4 linked regions of the Tribolium castaneum genome follow. The protein of the gene in region 3 purifies or fractionates together with the protein of the main gene of each other region. This does not show direct contact. Links are inferred from orthologs where the notes say so. Each region holds a gene or a part of one and is shown on either strand. Other genes may lie near its edges.

What was found. Proteins that work in one complex are often made in the same cells at the same time.
Region 1: the proteins of slmb (region 3) and ex purify together in Drosophila melanogaster (affinity purification with western blotting; 4 studies listed by BioGRID, with this or other methods). This does not show direct contact. The link is inferred for Tribolium castaneum from reciprocal best matches to the Drosophila melanogaster genes slmb and ex.
Region 2: the proteins of slmb (region 3) and Cul1 purify together in Drosophila melanogaster (affinity purification with western blotting; 4 studies listed by BioGRID, with this or other methods). This does not show direct contact. The link is inferred for Tribolium castaneum from reciprocal best matches to the Drosophila melanogaster genes slmb and Cul1.
Region 4: the proteins of slmb (region 3) and ci purify together in Drosophila melanogaster (affinity purification with western blotting; 4 studies listed by BioGRID, with this or other methods). This does not show direct contact. The link is inferred for Tribolium castaneum from reciprocal best matches to the Drosophila melanogaster genes slmb and ci.

What each region holds. Positions count from the first base shown.
Region 1 is NC_087395.1:21,737,869-21,742,712, reverse strand, and holds part of ex (protein expanded), read right to left. Parts: intron 3,638-4,844; 5' UTR 3,602-3,637; coding exon 3,373-3,601; intron 1-3,372. UniProt on the Drosophila melanogaster protein: Activates the Hippo/SWH (Sav/Wts/Hpo) signaling pathway, a signaling pathway that plays a pivotal role in organ size control and tumor suppression by restricting proliferation and promoting apoptosis.
Region 2 is NC_087396.1:22,569,015-22,573,329, reverse strand, and holds the end of Cul1 (cullin-1), read left to right. Parts: intron 1-64; coding exon 65-613; intron 614-661; coding exon 662-925; intron 926-973; coding exon 974-1,153; intron 1,154-1,794; coding exon 1,795-1,944; intron 1,945-1,994; coding exon 1,995-2,335; intron 2,336-2,383; coding exon 2,384-2,603; intron 2,604-2,654; coding exon 2,655-2,735; 3' UTR 2,736-3,062; downstream 3,063-4,315. Other genes in the region: TBC1 domain family member 31, read left to right, coding at 3,402-3,475, 3,522-3,954, 4,002-4,150, 4,197-4,315. UniProt on the Drosophila melanogaster protein: Core component of multiple SCF (SKP1-CUL1-F-box protein) E3 ubiquitin-protein ligase complexes which mediate the ubiquitination of proteins involved in cell cycle progression, signal transduction and transcription.
Region 3 is NC_087397.1:4,519,575-4,525,218, reverse strand, and holds the end of slmb (supernumerary limbs), read left to right. Parts: intron 1-1,289; exon of another isoform or gene 1,290-1,536; intron 1,537-1,591; coding exon 1,592-1,823; intron 1,824-1,872; coding exon 1,873-2,059; intron 2,060-2,108; coding exon 2,109-2,565; intron 2,566-3,462; coding exon 3,463-3,725; intron 3,726-3,782; coding exon 3,783-3,972; intron 3,973-4,582; coding exon 4,583-4,718; intron 4,719-4,767; coding exon 4,768-4,778; 3' UTR 4,779-5,157; downstream 5,158-5,644.
Region 4 is NC_087394.1:31,471,423-31,476,266, forward strand, and holds part of ci (transcriptional activator cubitus interruptus), read left to right. Parts: intron 1-3,328; coding exon 3,329-3,453; intron 3,454-4,844. UniProt on the Drosophila melanogaster protein: Has a dual function as a transcriptional activator and a repressor of the hedgehog (Hh) pathway. The full-length ci form (ciFL), acts as an activator (ciA) while ciR, its C-terminally truncated form, acts as a repressor. Involved in segment polarity.

The DNA.
Region 1 (4,844 bases), on a different chromosome or scaffold from region 3:
ACGTACGATGTTTAGAATTGTTGTTAGCAAGCGGTTTTCGAACATAATCGCCAACATAAAGACGGACCAAAAGTTCGAATCATTCGCATTCCGATACTATTATTAAGTGTTTACTGTGCGGACGTAATCGATGAATTTCTTATAATACCAACGCCCGGTCACGAGAAGATGAATCCCAAACGATAAAATTAATACGAACAACGGGCCCAAACTTCCGTAAGTGGGCTGAGAGATTTCCAAAAATGCAACGAAAATTTTGCGCTAATTTTAGGCTTCGTATTAGAATTAACTAAATTCGCCTTATTATCACCTTATACTCGTCTAATTAAAGATGTCAGCAACTTAAAAACAACTATGTATTAATGATAAGGCTAAAAACACTTAAAAAAATAATAAAATAAATAAAAAAAGTAAATAATAAACCCTTTCTTTATACCTTTATACTTGGAATTATGACGCGAGCATTTGGTCCAGTTTTAAGACCAAATGGTTTAGAACTTAGTTCCTTTAAGTTCAAGACAAAATTTTGAACATAAAGTGGTCGATTTTTTATTTTGCGGAGGGTGTGTAAGAAATGTCTGTCAAGTTTTTGGTGATTTTAGGTTCTGTGATGAAAGGCGGTTGTGATGTCACGATATCCTATTTTGAACCATATTTTTAGTTTCCAGTAACACAAAAATGAGTGAAATAAGTTGCCAATGCACTTGATTTTACTCGGATCTTCACTTAAAAACTTTAATCCGCCTAATTTTGGCATTTGTTTTCTTTAAAAAAGTTTATTTTCAACGATCTCTCGCACTTAAAAACGTACTAAGCTCTCTGGGAATACCTACGTTCGCCTTATTTTGCATTTGAGTCATCTCATTAATTGATTTTCAACAATTTTTCCTTCAAATCGTACTGAAATACCATTTACTTTGTATGGTATTCCACCAGTTTAAATAAGTTTTTTTCAACGATTCTTTGCTAGAAGACGTGCCAAATGGTCTTGGAATACCTCTAAACAAGTTAATTTGGCATTTACTGTATTAAATTAGATTCGATTTTTCTCTTAAAATAAAAACTTTAAATTGCGTAATTTTGGCATTTTTACAATGCTCGAAAAGTCAAAAATAAGTTAATTTTTGGGTTATTTAAGCGAAATTTCGCGAGAAAATGAGGTTTGCATAACATTTCAAAAAGGCAAGAGTAATATTGGAGGAAAAATTACAAAAGACATTGTATCTCACTTATCAAACGTGCTAAACACTAGAGAGAAACAGCTCACAGTAATATTATTTTCGACATTTATTGCAAACTTTTTGCCCTATTAAGGATATTTAAGAGTAATTTACTCATCTAGCAACAAAAAATTCAATAGAATCCTAATAAGCAATAAACGAAAATTTATGTCAAAAGTCTGCCAATTTGACGTAAAATTGTCTGGGGATTTGCTATTATTTTCGTTCTACAATTCGTAGTTTTGAAGATATTGATTGAAAAACAGTCGACTTTTCGTCAATTTTTACATTCTACCAAAAATTAACAAAAAATAAAAATAATTTGAATAACACAATTTGGTAAAAAAATTATTCACTTATCTACCAACAAAAAATTCATCAAGAGCAAAATAAAATTGATGTCAAAAGTACGCCAATTTGACGTAAAATTGTCCAGGGGTTCAAAAATCTGCCTTTATTTTGTTCTAGAATTCGTAGTTTTGGAAATATTTGTAGTAATACGGTCGATTTATTTTTTCCCTTCTACCAAAAATTTAATGAAAATAATAATAAAAATTGACCTAAAACGACTTGTAGCACTTTTAATTAAAAAAAAATTGTGGCCATCGAGGCAAAAATTGTGCAAATAAACTGAATAAAACAAATTTGTCAAAATTTTTATTTACTTATCTGCCAATAAAAAATTACCAAGATTACAATAACCAAAAATTTAATACACATTTATGCCCAACTGACGTAAAATTGTCTGAGGATTCCAAATCTGTTCTCATTTTTGTTATAAAATTCGAAGTTTTGGAAATATTAGACGAAATACGATCGATTTCAATTTTTTCATTTTATCAAAAATTAAAAGAATAAAAAAATAAAAATTGATCCAAAACGACTTGTAACACTTTCAGCTAGTTCGTTATCAAAAATCTGAGCACAATTTTGTGGTAATCTAGTCAAAACTGTGCAAATAAGCCGAATAAAACAAGAAGTCAAAATTTTTATTTACTTATCTGCTAATGAAAAAACATCAAATAACCAAAAATTTAGGTCAAAAGTATGCCTATTCGACGTAAACATCTGAGGATTCCAAATATATCCTCATTTCCCTTACACGATTTTAGAGATATTAGACGAAATACGATCGAGGAAAATTTTTCCATTCTACCAAAAATTAAATTAAATTAAAAATTTAAATTGACCTGTCTAAAACGACTTGTAGCACTTTTTTTACTAGTTGATTATCTATTTCTGAGCAAAATTTTGTAGAAATCGAGTCAAAATTGTGTAACGAATAAATAAAACAACCTGTTCAAAATTTTTATTTACTTTCTACTAACAAAAAATTCAGTAAGGTCAAAATAACCGAAAATTGATGTCAAAAGTATCACCATTTGACACAGAATTGTCTGAGGATTCCAAATCTGTTCTCATTTTTGTTATAAAATTCAAAGTTTTGGAAATATTAGACGAAATACGATCGATTTCAATTTTTTCATTTTATCAAAAATTAAAAGAAGAAAAAAATAAAAATTAATCCAGAACGACTTGTAACACTTTCAGCTACTTCGTTATCAAAAATCTGAGCACAATTTTGTGGTAATCTAGTCAAAACTGTGCAAATAATCCGAATAAAACAAGAAGTCAAAATTTTTATTTACTTATCTGCTAATGAAAAATCATCAAATAACCAAAAATTTTGGTCAAAAGTATGCTTTTTCGACGTAAACTTATCTGAGAATTCCAAATATATCCTCATTTCCCTTACACGATTTTAGAGATATTAGACGAAATACGATCGAGGAAAATTTTTCCATTCTGCCAAAAATTAAATTAAATTAAAAATTTAAATTGATCTGTCTAAAACGACTTGTAGCACTTTTTTTACTAGTTGATTATCTATTTCTGAGCAAAATTTTGTAGAAATCGAGTCAAAACTGTGTAACGAATAAATAAAACAACCTGTTCAAAATTTTTATTTACTTTCTACTAACAAAAAATTCAGTAAGGTCAAAATAACCGAAAATTGATGTCAAAAGTACCACCATTTGACACAGAATCGTCTGAGGATTCCAAATCTGTCTCCCTTTTTGATCTGTGAATGGTAGTTTTGAAGATATTGGACGAGATAAACGCCCCTATTTAGATAAAAAAGTTTGCTTACCGCAGATGAGGGCCAGCCCGAACAAGTCGGTGTCGAGCATCCCCTGTTGGGCGAAGTGTAGGCATGTCTGCTGGTACAGTTCCCTGACCCTGGATTTGGCCTGTACGATGAAGTAGAGGGTTTGTTGGTGCAGCAAATGCAGGGCCAAGAAGCGAGCCGACGGGGGTAGCGCTGCTGCCGGGCTGCACGCGGCCAGAGGGGCGCTTACCGTGCACAGGCCGGCGCGCATGACCCGCTCATCTCTTCAAGGGGGTTGCCCGCTCACCTGCACACACGACCCTATCATTAGCCTGCGATCGGACATCTCGCGCCAACAATTAACACACGTTCCAGGAACAAATTCCAGACAGATACAGAGGTCATTGCCAAATTTTCATATTAATCGGCCATTGTCTCGCGTTTTGCGTTCGCTTTTAGACGATGATTAGGTGGGTTTCATTGGATGCCGATTCTAGGTAACACTTCTTATCTGATTTACTGCGTACACAGGAAATATCTTGCATGTTTCTTGAGAAATGGCGAAAAAAACACATGTACGTCATGTATGAGAGTTGTGATTTGTGATTAGACACCAGAAAGAATTGAGTTTTTTACATATTTGTGACAGACAAGACGAAAATTGACGCTTTACAAGTTGGACAAAGGCCCGATTTTGAAGCCTTTTAGACAGCTTTACGAAAGATTGAAGGTCAAGACTGGCATGGAAATGAGTTAAAAGTCACGCCAATAACAGGAATCGATTTATTATTTAATCCTGTAATCGCATCTATTTGAAATTTTTAAAACTTAAAAAAATAAATGAACGGCAAAATCAATTCCGACTCGTCTACAGCGAAATTCTAGCCCAAATTTTCATTTTTTAATTAAATTTCGGGAAAAATATAAACGTAAATCGTTGAGAATAGCATTTTTGTTTTAGTGCCATTTATTGGCATTATTATACGTGTAGTGAAATAACATCAAATATATATTAGATAATTTTGTCACTCCTAATTATTATTAATAGATAGGAACATGTTTTTCTAAAAAAAGACCAAACTGTGCAAAAATATCTGTGGTTAGTAAGAAATTTTCTACAATGTCAAAAAAACCAAAATAACTTGAAAATGATCATAGATAGGTATAGGGAATGCTAATACAGATCGATGCAGAAAAAAATTCTCCACCATCTAGTAAAATAAAAATTGGGACGTCCCATTTAAAAAAATAAATTTTGGGTACTTGAAGTTGCCCAAACTTAACCCTAAAATTTTTGGGTTTATTAACTTCTTTTCTAATTTTGAACACACTGGAGAACAGATATAGGCTTTCTCTTTTAATTCTCCAAAAATGATTTCGAAACCTCTAAAACTAAAAGAGTTACCGATTTTTTAGGTGACAGGTGCAAATCCAAAAATTTTCAAAAAATCTTACATATTCCGAAAACGGTTAAACTTATGTATAGGACAAGCTGATAAAAACTGTCTTAAAAT
Region 2 (4,315 bases), on a different chromosome or scaffold from region 3:
ATTGAGAGTTTGCAAGCCCCTATCCGGGGCTGTCGTTTTTATTTTTCTCCCCCGTTCAAACCAGGTAACAACTGCCGTTCTGAAACTGATCGAACGCGAGCGCAACGGCGAAACAATCAACACTCGTTTAGTCTCTGGCGTGATAAACTGTTACGTGGAATTGGGCCTAAACGAGGAGGAACCAGGGGCCAAAGGACCGAACCTATCGGTGTACAAAGAGAGTTTCGAAAACATGTTTCTGGAAGACACTGAACGCTTCTACCTAAAAGAGAGTAACAACTTCCTAGCACAAAATCCGGTCACTGAATACATGAAAAAGGCCGAACAACGTCTCCTCGAAGAACAGAAACGCGTCCAAGTCTATCTACACGAAACAACAAGCGGCCGTTTAGCCAAAACCTGCGAAAGAGTCCTCATTAAAAAGCACCTCGACATGTTCCATTCGGAGTTCCAGCAGTTGTTGGACGCCGACAAAGACGAGGATTTGGGTCGGATGTACTCGTTGGTAGCGCGGATTCCGGACGGTTTAGGGGAATTACGGACGCTTCTCGAGCAACATATCGCAGCTCAGGGGCTCTCAGCGATTGAAAAATGCGGAGAAAGCGCCCATAATGTAACTAACTGTTACTACAACTCCCAGTTTTTAATAACCTGTATTTAGGACCCGAAAATTTACGTCAACACGATTCTGGAGGTGCACAAGAAGTACAACGCTCTTGTTTTGGTGGCGTTCAACAACGATAGCGGTTTTGTGGCGGCTTTGGACAAGGCATGTGGTCGTTTCATCAACGCCAATGCCGTTACCAAAAAAGCCAATTCGAGCAGCAAATCGCCGGAATTGCTCGCGAAATACTGTGATTTGCTGCTGAAGAAGTCGAGCAAGAATCCGGAGGAGGCGGAGCTCGAAGATACGTTAAACCAAGTCGTATGTAACGAGGTTTTGTTTTGGGTGGGGTTTTGATTGTGTTTTCAGATGGTTGTGTTCAAATATATCGAAGATAAGGACGTTTTTCAAAAGTTCTACAGTAAAATGCTGGCCAAGCGATTGGTCCAGCACATGTCGGCGAGTGACGATGCTGAAGCTTCAATGATCTCAAAACTGAAACAGGCATGCGGGTTTGAGTACACCTCCAAGTTGCAAAGGATGTTCCAGGCAAGTTGGTACAATTGGTTTTTAATTGGTCATTGATGACCCCGAGAATGAATGATTTTCTATTAATAAACAATTTGCGTTAATACGAGACATTTATAAACGATTTTCTGCACATTTATCATATCGATAAACAAACAATCAACGGAAATGCGAATTTAAACATAATTTTTTGCAAAGTGACTTTGGTTATACGCATTTCTTCCGTTTTTCATGACTGACTTCAAGGCCTGCTCTCCTTTTGGAGATTTCAGTGGTAACTTTGAACTGAAGGCGACTTTCTTTTTGTCTTGCTAAATTTCCAAGTTTTTGGCTAAAAATTTAATTTTTTCAACTTTTTATTTGACAATTTCCAAAAAATACAAATTGAACTTTAAATTTTTTTCTTGTTTTTTGTACGTTTTTCACTCAGAAATGCTTCTTTTTGCGAAAGTCCTCCGGAATAAGCCGAAAATTCATTAAAATAAGTCGGGAGATCTCAAATGATTATTATGAAATAATTTTGAAATTTCAAATGCTAAAAAATATTAAAAGTCACTACTTTAATGACGGTTTATGTTGCCATTTTTGGGCCATTTTATCGTTAATTCTTTCGAAAAACAGCCTTGAAAGCGTTGATTTTGGCGTAATCTGTATTTTTTTAGGACATTGGCGTGTCTAAAGATCTGAACGAGCAATTCAAAAGTCATCTATTAAAATCAAACGAAACCCTAGACATAGATTTTAGTATTCAAGTGTTATCTTCCGGATCATGGCCTTTCCAGCAATCTTTCACCTTCGGATTGCCGACCGAGGTGCGTTTTTTGCTTGTTGTAGGGTTGGGAGATAAATTGTACGTTTGCAGCTTGAAAGAAGTGTTCATAGATTTACAAATTTCTATTCCGGTCAGCATTCGGGCCGGAAATTAAATTGGCTGTATAACATGTCGAAAGGAGAGTTACACACGAACTGTTTTAAAAATAGATACACACTCCAAGCTAGTACGTTTCAAATGGCTGTGCTGCTCCAGTTCAACGTGTCTGAAAGTTGGACAATAGCTCAACTCGAGGAGAATACACAAATCAAAACAGATTTCCTAATACAGGTCATACAGATATTACTTAAAGCGAAGCTGATCACTTGCGATGATGACGAGAACGAGCTCGCGCCACACTCGGTTGTGAACCTTTTCCTAGGATATAAAAAGTGAGTTTACGCGCCAGGGGTGTCCCCCGATTTGAGTTTTTCTTCCAGTAAAAAACTTCGGGTCAATATCAATATTCCGATGAAGACCGAGCTAAAGATGGAGCAAGAAACAACTCACAAGCATATTGAAGAGGACAGGAAGTTGCTGATTCAAGCCGCGATTGTACGAATCATGAAAATGAGGAAAATACTGAAACATCAACAGTTGGTGGCTGAAGTTTTGAACCAGTTGTCGTCAAGGTTCAAGCCGAGGGTTCACATCATCAAGGTGATGATATTTCTCGTATTAGTTGTGTGTTTGATTTGTGTTTTGTTGCAGAAATGCATAGATATTCTGATCGAGAAGGAGTATCTGGAGAGGACTGAGGGTCAGAAGGACACCTACAGCTACTTGGCATGATTCAGCAAACGCAACTGTCACCCAACTGTCTTTGATTAACAACCGGCGGAGTCAACGAGTGGCTTGTATATTGTAAATATTCGAAAAATAAATTGTACTTTAAGTGATATGCTATACTAAAAAATACACAACTGTATTTATGTTTTGATTGAATTGTCCTAGAACTGTCAATCTGAGTTCTGGCGCTCTCTTGATATTCCTTTGAATTTTTGTTTTAATTCTGCTTTTACTTTATTAATTGTATAGAATCTGTTTATTTGTATTACTATGTGAAAAGAATACGAATGTAATTTAATTCACCGATTTTAAATAAATTGTTTTGACAAATTGCTGTTTGAGTTAACGCCACTTTAACACACATTGGAATACGATTATCAAAAAAACATAAATAAAACTATGAATAATTTATTTATTATTTTATTCTATATTAAATTGATGATACACCTTTGTTAATAGGAAAATGAAAAAATGAGAAAAATATCACAGTTGGCTGAATAATTTGACTTCGCGCCACCTTTCGGTGTGCTAGTGCAACATGCAATGACAAGTTCACAAAGGTTTCTTGAACTCGATTTTACAAAATATTGACACAGATTAGAGGTTATCTTGCTTTAATCTGTGACCATCGATAAAGACAAACCAACCCTTGAAACAACCACAACCACCATGACTCTAAACCTAACCAAGGAAAACCGCATTTACAAGAAACTTTTCACTTTGAAACCCTCCCAAAGAGACGGGTATTGGGCCCTTGCCCCTTGGACCAATTAATTGCCCTGTTTTCAGCTTAGTGCTAAACATCCACCACACCGACAGAAACGCGCAGAAGATCCGCTTTCTCAGTTGCTGTTTCAGCAAAAATGGTCAAACACTGGCCTTGGCCGACTACGAGGGCAACATCTTTGTGATCGACTTCACGAGCACCAAATTCTGGAACATCCCAAAATTCACAAACACTTGCGTTATGGTCAAGTTTTCGCACTTCAAAGAGGGCGAAATTTTAGTGGGGGCACATTGTGGCGCTGTGTACGTGGTTGAGGCCCAAACTGGCTTCGTCTGCGGCCAGTTGAGGGGCCACCAGAGCCCTGTTAATTGCATGACGTTTGGTAGTAACTTTTTGTGCCTCACGGGGTCCACAAGTGAGGCGATTTTGTGGGACTTGAACACCAACAGCAAGCTGCAGGTGCTCAGTTTGCAGCACAGTTGCGCCCTGAAATATGTACGTCTTTGCGATCGTTAGAATTAATTTGATTTCGAAAATTCCAGGTGTGCTTCATTCCCGTTTCCTCCTATATTTTGACATGTTTCAACGACGACGTGATCCAGATCTGGCAGTTTGGCACGTTTGAGATGAAGACTGAAATACCACCTCTGGTGTGGTTCAACCACGAAGTGAAAAACATCACGTTCACACAGTATGACGATGGTTTTTGTCAATTGTTTTTTTATGTTTTTTTCAAGGGACGGCAAAGTGATGGTGATTGGTTGCCGCTCACCACACCTCGCCCTCTTCCTACTCTCGAACTTCAAACTATTTAAATTTATAACATTGCCAGAACACATCCAGTCACTGAAACACA
Region 3 (5,644 bases):
ATGTAATATGTGCTCCCCAATTCGCAACAAGCAATTTACCTTGTTGGCGTTATTTGCCCAGGACTTAATTAAATGAGAATATGCTTGCGATATAATTGAAAATAAATTGTTTTTGGATCAGGCTTAGTGCATGCAAAGTTGATGAGGCATGTGTAGGTGGAAATGCTATTTACGTAGTTGTTGTTTCATTTTATCCTGTATTAAACGAATAAATTGGACGTTGTAAAGACGAAGCCGTCCGATTGTTAATGTCATAATTCACTGAAATGAATAATTGGATTAGAAATTTATAATGGCGCACGTATATGTTTAATTAGCTAATAACTAGTTTCAAACTACCTGCTCGAATGTTAATATTTGTAGTAATTTGGTTGAAGGATTACACATTGTTTGTTAATTGGGATGGAGTAATAACTTTGTATTAGTGCTGAGTGCATAACTTTGTCATTGACAAATACATAGTAAAATCGTAGTGTTGCTCAACTCCAGACAGTCTTTGAAAGGATTGTAACAAAGGTTTGGCCGTGAAGACTGCGATTTTTTCTAAACAAATATTTTGAATACATTTTAAGCGAAGGTTATTTTACTGCAATTTTTTGGAAGAATTTTTGTACCAGGAAATCATCGAATTTATCTCGTGAAAGAGCGAAAAAGTAAGTTCACTTTACAACGAAACAATTTTGAACTATGGAATTTGGTTGGTAAAGCGAAAAATTGAAATTTCTTGCACTCTGTCTTTGAGTGCAGCTCGTAAAAAATTCATTTCAAACCGTCCAGTGAATTGAATCGTAACTAATCGATTTTGCCATAAATAATCCTTGAACAAGATGTAAGAAAATACGCGGTTCATGACAACGCAATCTATTCCGGTGATGGTAAATTAAATGTAAATTAATTATTGTTGTCACAAGCAAAATTTTTCAAAATCACGTTTTCTAGACAGCTCGTTTAATTAATTGACGTCATTAGGCGCCGCAATTAAAGAGGGAAAACGTTGCGGTTTCTCCATTTCATAAAATTCGGCTTTTACGCTCGATTAATTAGAGGTTTTGTGTCGATATTAGATCGCGATTAGACAACAGAAAAAACAATTTCATGGAACCGTCCTCGGAAACTCGTCTTGTCTCCTAGCAGTCATTCTAGTTCAAGTGTACCGTGTATGTTAATTTTGTCCTGAATGTCGAGCGTGCTTTATTTATGAGATTATTCTTATGTTGAGGAAAAAGAGAGTCACCAGATGAACATTTTTCCCGCCTTTAGTACATCTAAGCTCGCCTCGGATATCAGAAGTAAATCAGCGATTTGTGCGTGCACAAGGCGTTCAACTTTCTACAATTTACATTTAATTATTGTCTTATCATTTTTTCGTCGACAGTTATCTTTTATGTTTATGTTCAGTTTTATTTGTTCTCAGACGGGTTCATTAGGTGCATAAAAATAGCGACAAACGGTATTTGTAATTTCCTTTATCTAATATGTTGATTACTGAGGTTTAGCTAAATTTAGCTCGTATCTCGCTTATTTCGGAACATAACGGTAATTTTGTTTGCAGATGTCTGTTCCATCGTAATCGTTTGTGTTTCCTTTACAGCAGTATCCAATGACAATATTATCACCGTACGATACGGCCAGGAAGAAAGAGCCTTCGGCTACTTTTAACGCGGAGAGAGAAACATGTCTGAAATGCTTCGAAAAATGGAGCGAAACCGACCAAGTCGAATTCGTAGAAAATTTACTAGCTAGGATGTGTCACTACCAACACGGGCACATCAATTCCTATTTGAAACCCATGCTGCAGCGAGATTTCATATCTCTTTTACCAAGTAAGTCCCGAAACGTTAGTCCCAGCGGATTTTTTGAGTTGTCTTTCAGAGCAAGGATTGGACCACGTCGCTGAGAATATATTGTCATATTTGGAGGCGGACAGTTTACGGAACGCCGAGTTGGTCTGCAAAGAATGGTTTAGGGTAATCTCAGAGGGTATGCTTTGGAAGAAGCTAATCGAGCGGAAAGTTCGGACGGATTCACTGTGGAGAGGTTTAGCCGAACGCAGACAATGGTACTGAATTAAACCCGAGTTAGTGGGTGTTTAACTTGGCAAATTTCAGGATACAATATTTATTCAAACCACGACCTGGCGAGAACCATCGTCCCCATTCGTTCTATCGAGCCCTTTTCCCGAAAATCATCCGCGATATCGAAAGCATAGAAAGTAATTGGCGGAACGGTCGGCACATCTTGCAGCGAATCAACTGCCGGTCCGAAAATAGCAAAGGGGTTTACTGTTTGCAGTACGACGATCAGAAAATCGTGTCGGGTCTCAGGGACAATACTATTAAAATATGGGACAGAAGTACATTGCAGTGCACTAAAGTTCTTATAGGACATACGGGATCGGTTTTGTGTTTACAATACGACGATAAAGTTATTATTAGTGGTTCTAGTGATTCAACTGTGCGCGTCTGGAACGTTAACACGGGAGAAATGGTCAATACGCTCATACATCATTGCGAAGCCGTCCTTCATCTTAGATTCAATAACGGAATGATGGTCACCTGTTCAAAAGTAAGTCGAAAACCGTATTGGAACTTCATTAGCGAACCAAGTGAAAACCGCCCGCAATTAAACCACCGTTAGAAACTCGGTCTTGGATTTTTTCTTGAAATATGTGTCAGACTCGTCAGCAGATCGCGATCGTAAATTCCCACTGTTTGAACTCGAATACAATTCGGATTAAAAACGGACAAATATTCCCCGTTATCGTTACTTCCACCATTAAAACAATAAATCATGGATTATATCTGGATATTGCAACTACAAAGGAATATTTATATGATAATGAAACGCAAAGTTATTTCGGGGTCACATCCGAGAATGAGACATTAACATAAAAACTCCACAATTGAAAAAAGAAAGCACTCTAATTTTGTCCAAGAATTTATTTTATGGTGCACTAGCTCTAATTGGACACTTAATTACAAATTTCACACTTCCTGTTTGGGTTTTATTTTTAACAAAAACGAAAGTAAATGCATCGCATGAAATTCGTTTTTATAAATTACGAAACGGTACGTGATTGCCAATTAATTTTCGTTCGAAAATTAATTCAAGTTCCTTCCCCAATAAAACCTTGGGCTATTATTAGTTACTTTTTACTAATAATAGCAATGGATTTATTATTGGCATAAGCTAAAGCTTGGCCAATTGTACTGAAAACGGACAAAGCTTGTGGGTGGAACAAATCCGATCCTAAAAAAGGGGCGCGCTTTAAAAGGTCAAAGTTATTCATTAAAGTAGCGCTCGTATTGGCGTTTAATTAAAAAAAAGGCATTGCACAAATGATTCTTACAAAAAAATGAGCTATAAAATGTAAATTTGGTTTAACCTAATTATTTTTGAAAAGGTAACGTGTGAGAATGGGTTTTTAACGCCGTTTTGCGAATTAATGTTTGTTTTTTTCAGGATCGCTCGATAGCTGTGTGGGACATGACATCGCCGAACGAGATCACCCTGCGGCGGGTGCTGGTGGGGCACAGGGCCGCCGTGAACGTGGTCGATTTCGACGAGAAATACATAGTTTCGGCGTCGGGTGACCGAACGATAAAAGTGTGGAACACCTCAACTTGTGAGTTTATGCGAACGTTAAACGGACATAAACGGGGGATCGCCTGTTTGCAATACCGAGATAGGTTGGTCGTAAGCGGAAGTTCGGACAATACCATAAGGTAAACATTGCGGTTAAATGCGCGATAAAGAAACCACAGAACACGATCGATTTCCAGGTTGTGGGATATCGAAGGTGGCGCTTGTCTGCGGGTGCTTGAAGGGCACGAAGAGTTAGTGCGTTGTATCCGTTTCGATTCGAAACGGATTGTCAGCGGGGCTTATGATGGGAAAATTAAAGTTTGGGATCTCGTTGCCGCGCTTGATCCCAGAACGCCGGCCAGTGCTTTATGTCTTCGAACATTGGTAGTAAGTTAATAGTACAGTCATTAAATTCATCTAATATCATAACGCAGCGCTTGACATTTCATTTAATAGAGTTAATAAAGGGCTAATTTTTAACTGAGCGATTGCAGGTAAAGTTGTTATGCTTGCTTGTCCTTTAATGGGCCCACTTAGTGTTTTTTATTTCAAGTTACGAAATAATGTTACGGGTTAATATGTACTTCACTTCACTGTTCGCTGATAAGTGATAATTGTTGAGAAATAGTATCATTGCTGGGATAAGTGACCATTTTCTCGATGAAAAACGCATCAGTATCATAAATATTTTGTAACATGAGCAGAAAATGGATGGCACTTTAATTATAATTAGAGATAGAATCGAAAGAACAATTTTTTGTTTTGGCCATTTGTACACGAAATCTTTCTTTTTCCATAATAGTCGCGATTTGGCAGGTATTTTGCACTTGAAGTTAAATGCTTGTTGCGTTAGTTTAAGGAACCGTGCTAAATGAGCCTATTAGGTGTTCATACCATTGATGTCTTAAATGATTTTTTGACTGATTGCATTCATAAAGTTTCGGTGGGTGTGAGACCCATTCCCGGGTGTCTAAACGTTGGTGTTTCTTGTTTTCAGGAACACACAGGTAGAGTATTCAGGTTGCAGTTTGACGAGTTTCAAATAGTGAGCAGTTCGCACGATGATACAATTCTTATTTGGAATTTCCTCAACTCAATTGGAGAGAGAAACACGAAATCGCCTTCGCCCTCTCGTACGTTGGTTGTGTGTTATTGTTGATTTTTTAACGTTTCCAATTTCAGCGTTTGAGTAAATTGTCCAGAAGCCAATTTGTCATCATGTGTGTGTGAGTGTGGAAGAGACAATTTTGGAGCAAGTGCTCGCATAAACTGACTAGGAATATAAAATTTAGAAAATTATTTGTAATAATTGTGTATAATGTTATATTTAAATTGGATATATTTATGTCTTAATTTATAATATGAAGCGTATTTGACATAATTGGAGTTCGTTTTTTACGTGTTTCGTCTTTATGAAAAATTTTTGCTGTTGTGTTTCCTAGACCGAATTAAGATGTCGACACAAAACCTCTGTTGATCTGTTGTAACCTAAATGAGTTTAACTACGAATTATGTGATAGTACGTTTAAAACATCTAAAGTGCGGTTTTCATCGTGTGCGCCATTAATCTTGTTGACGTTTTACATTTGTTTTATTTCGTTATCGTTGAATTTGCAAAAATGAACAACTAATTTTAGCTCTCTAGTCTATGAAATTTCAATGATAGGCTACACACGTTATTTTAGGAATCAAGTTGTTTTAAAATTCTCACACTATAGTGCGGTTTCTACAGTTTGTTGGGCTTTCTAGTCTGTAATCATTCTTTGCAAACTTAGAAAGTGAGTTTAGTCGGCAAAAATTGTATAGTAAGTTTTAAATTTATAGGATTTTGGGGTGAATTCAGTGATGATTAATTTTAGTTTAGGATTATTTTACATCATTTTCATCAAGTTGGAAATTGTGATCTATTATTTAGGGTTCTCCATATTTATTATGGGAAAATGATTGCAACCAAAAGTACTTTTTGTTTTGTTTGGTGCATTAATTTAATGAGGCTGCAAGTGTACTGGGATTCCAAGAAGTGGCCACGGGCTGTTCTTGCTATTTATTTTAGACGATT
Region 4 (4,844 bases), on a different chromosome or scaffold from region 3:
GCAGTAGCAACGAAAGCTCCAGATACGGTTTTCAGTCAGTCCCACACCTTAATAGAGCAACCAAGAACGTGTTCTATGCAAATGCGGTTCTAGCGTGAGTTTGAATATGTATACGGTGCACACGGACGTGCACGATCCGATAATAATTAATTCAAATTACTTGCGCCAGAATGAATCTACAACCCGCTTTTTAATTAATGCTGATTTGAAGCATCAACGCCTTTTAGAGACGAACCAGACTCCAATTATCGGCGGGTGGACTCCAGCATCCACCTCGTCAAACGCATTCCGGGATTTATTATAATTGCTGTTCTCATGCGAAACCTCCACTCACTCGTGAAATAAATAAATAAGCCTTGTTATTGACAATTGCACACTTAATTTCTTTCTATCACGGTTTCATAGCCTGTAATACTATATCTCCATATATTTCACTCAATAGGGCGGAAAGTGCCGTTTTTTCACGTAGAGAAAGGAAAAAAAAGGAATGCCTGTCTTAATTTGTAGTTGATGTGTGTTGTTGACTCATCTGAATTATTTGGTGATAGAGCGGTCAAGCGGACGAAGTTAGTCCGTCGTCGAATTTATGTAAATGTATGAAGCGCCTGTATACAAATTGTCAAATTATTCAGTTGGCAACGGTGTGCCTTCTTTGTTTGGTACAACTGTATAAAACACCCACATCTAAGGTGCGAACAAAACATAGGTGATTCGAACGCGTTCGGTGTGGTGTGCGTGTTTTATGCAAGCCGGATTACATTCGTCCTGTGAAAGAGCGTCGTCCTGGCATAGGTTGTCTCTGTGGTTGCGTCCACTTGTGTTTATTTGGTTGGATGTAGAACGACACACCTGATAATGCAGTCTGGATTAAACTTTTATTCGGCCGTAAAAACTTGTTGGCGTTTATATTGGCCGTATATTTTTGAAATCCTCCATCGACTCACCTTGGTCGAAGATCGAGGCTTTCTGAATAAATGTTTACGTAACGAAAAATACGGTTTTATTACTTATATAAATAGCTTCCTCTCGGTTTGTGCATCCGTCAAGAAGATTAAATAGATTTATTCAATGAGCGGGGACCAAGATGACATCACTGATGCTCAATGCGCTGATAATGGCAATGACTTGGAACAAATTTCTTATCAACATCCTGGGACTATTAATATATCATTTCCGTCCGGAAAATAGCAAAGCCACAGCAGTCAAGATATATTTGTTAAAAATATGCTTTCAATTAAATTTTGGATACGATTTGAAGTTAAGCTGGTATACAGGTGACTCACAAGTACCGTACAATCTCTCGGGTGCTGATAAAAGACATCAAACTAACTGAATAAAAAGTTCCTGTGACAAAAAATTGTTTCACGAGATGTAGGCCTTCAAAGTCAAATTTTTAAATTAATTTTTTGATATTTTAGATCATATTTTTTTGACTTAAGTTAGCTCTTGCAACATTAAACAAATAACTGTTGAAAAAAATTAACAATTAATATCTAATGATGTGCAATACATTAAAATAAATTAAATAAATTATAAATAAATTAAACATAAATAAAATATAAATATAAATAACTATAAAAATATATAAAAACTTGCTTAAAAAATCTGGCTTCATTTTTGTGCTTAACTGAACGTCTTTTATCACTATACGAGAGATTGTCCCACATCCCACACTTTTGAATCACCCGGTACCACAGCAAAGAATTAGTCATTTTGTTACTACCTTCATTTTAGAATATCATTTGAAATAAATAAAAATTTTCTCGTCTTTTGATGAAATTTGTATAATGTAATCAATCTAGAAGTTTGGTACTGTACACGTACTATACGATAACACTTTCTTTTTTATATGTCAGATATTCAATCTCTTGTCATAAACAGTTAAGTTATGCAACACATGATATATCTAGTCTAATTATTTAGATAAAACATGAAAGTTTAGCTTAATATTGTGACGTGGTCGTAACAATAATTTTATCATAAAATTATATTTACTAGAAACGTCGTAACTGCTTTTTGATGTTAAAATTGAATCCTACTAACAAAATTAGGGCCAAAAGGCTTCAGTATTTCATATAAAAAATATTGTGAAGAATCTTAGAAATTATGATAAAAATGCAATCGTGCATCCAATAAATCGCGATTTTTACAATCAGAGAATTAGGGCCATCTCCAGCAGACCATTGTTGCTTTCTCTTTATTCACACAGAAACCAGAAGCGTTTTATAGTCTGGGAATTTTTTTGTTATATTCTCGTTGGAAAAGGATGGTCGAAAGTAATGGCGAATAAATATGAATATTGGTAGTAAAAAACAGCATTTGGTGAAGATTTGACTTGGTTGACGTTTGTTTTAGTAAAAGGTTTATTGGAGGATTTTTTTCTTACATAAGTAGGTAATTTTTTCTGTACCTACCTAAACACATCGCACGGCATAATTTACCGAAACTTTTTTTCTAAGGGAATTAAAATTTAATCCAGGATTTTGCATTGAAGAATCTTTATCAAAATATAACTGCAATAAATGTTCAAATCGAGTTCAAATGTTAGAGATTAAAAAAAGAAGTTAAAAATTTTGACTTTAAAAAACGGACTATAACATTAAAATAATCAACTTCGTTAATTTCTTTTCTTTATTAATAACTGTGATAATAATGATTTGGTTTAATAGCTGGCATTTGAATTAAAAAACTAACCATTCATCTTAAATTATGAATGAATCTCAAAATTTAAGCCCATTGGTTTCTCACTTAATTTTAATAGCCGACCTTAAACGGACCAATCAAATCCACAAATATAATCATTAATGAATCAAAAACTCAAATGTGATTGGTCTTCTCCGTCATTTTAATGGCTGGTCTCAAACCCACCAATCAAAATGCTCGCAAATTTTTTTAGATGAAAAGCGACAAAATTGTCTCACTGAGACGAAATCAATAGGAAAGATAGAATTGAAACTTTTATTTTAGTCAAAATCCATTAATTGGCAAATTCTGGAAATTTCCATTAGATGATTGCCACTGCGCATGCGCGCGCGCTTCTTAAATTTGACAAGTGACATTTCGAAAATGCTTTAAAAAATCCAACAAAAACGCCGAAAAATCTGTGAAAAACCGTTCCGGCTAATTCAAAAGTGCAAAACAAAGACATTTGGCACGTAAATATTGTGTAATTGCGAACGGCATTGGTGTATTTTGCGCGTGGGGCTCTTGCCCCAAAAAAATCATTATTCAAAATGCTCAAAATTCACAGTAAAAACGCAGTCATTATAAGTAAAACTCGTATTTTTGTTAGAATTGATTGTTTGACAAGTTCTTTATTTTGTTGTAGGGTGAGCGGAAGTCCTGGAAGTGGTCTCCAGCTCCTGGGACGGGAACTACATCCCGCTTATCGTCTTCCACCCCACATGGAGTACCTCTATTCACTGCAGCATTCCACTGCCAATTCGATACACGGTAAGCCGGAAGTAGCTGAATAGGTGTGAACCCTGAGCTAGTATCACGTCCGATATCAGTCCTCCTGATTGACGCTAAAAGAAACGTTACGTTCCGTTTTATGCAGCATTTAGTTTGTCAGTAAAATTTTAATACTCCTTGGAATGGGAGCTGGACGTTGATGTTCTTCCCGAGTTCGTCAGTCGAATAAGTGTATCGATAAAATCCGGGTGCCATAAATGTCCACGTGTCATTTTTACAGTCATCTCGTTCGATATTTTAATATCTAATAAAATAAAGCCAGCATTCTCCCAGCTTGATTCCATACATGGCTCAGTGTAATAAAGTAAGGATTTTATGGTTTCAACTTAGTTAATATCGACCTCTATTAAAAATTATGATAATTTATATATTAATAATACCGTAATCCAACGTTAAATGCGGTTGTTTTTCCCTAAGTAACCGGATTAAGTTAAGTAACTCCGCGACCCGATCCAGTTACACAACACTAAACCCTTGTGTTTTGAAAATTCAATCAGCTTGATAAAAAACCGGATGCAAGGGTGAGTCTCAAGCCCGCATCGTCATCCACGTTTTTGTTTCAAACAATTAGCGCTCACGACACACAATTTTCGTAATTTTTTACGTGTGCGAGCTTAATGATTTATTTTTGCAGAAGACGCGTGTTTGTTTATTCAGGAATATTGGAAACGGTCTGGTTTATTTATACATAGGTTTTGTTTGTTTTCTCGAGCTCCTTATAAATGCGCGTTGACACAAATGTTTGTTGCAAGTTACTGGAGATTTATTTGTGCAGCATCTGTGGCAGGTTTACTAGCGCGGAATTTGACACAAAGTAGCTTCACTTTTACTCATCTTAATTTCTCGAACTTGACTTCCCTTGACTCGGTTTTTCATTGAAAGAAGTAACGCAATGTCTGCTTCGCCAAAGGCAAATGCCACGTTCAGTTTAAATAGGTTTATGCTACTGCAAAAAATTTTGTTGCATAATTTAGGACGTAATAAATTGTAGACAATAAATTATTATATTCTATAAAGCCGTGACCGTTAAAATAGCACAGTTACGGCAACGGATTTATGTCTCTAATATCATTGATCAAGAGTTGATTGTTATACAGGATTTCTGGCGAATAATGGCAAGCGTGTTATGCTACTTTTATTATTAAAATATTTGTGGTACCTCCTAGCTGAGGAGAATTTTTAAAAACGGAACACTATTAAAAAAAAAAGGATCAACTTTCTTGCTAAATTGTAATAGATCTTTATGCCTTTTTTGGTAAATTGAAACAATTGAGAATCATTTACTATTTTTCTGTGGTCAATTTAAAATCTCTCTAGAATAAAGTAGACATTTCGTACTTTAGATTACATCATAATAAATACCTCAATTT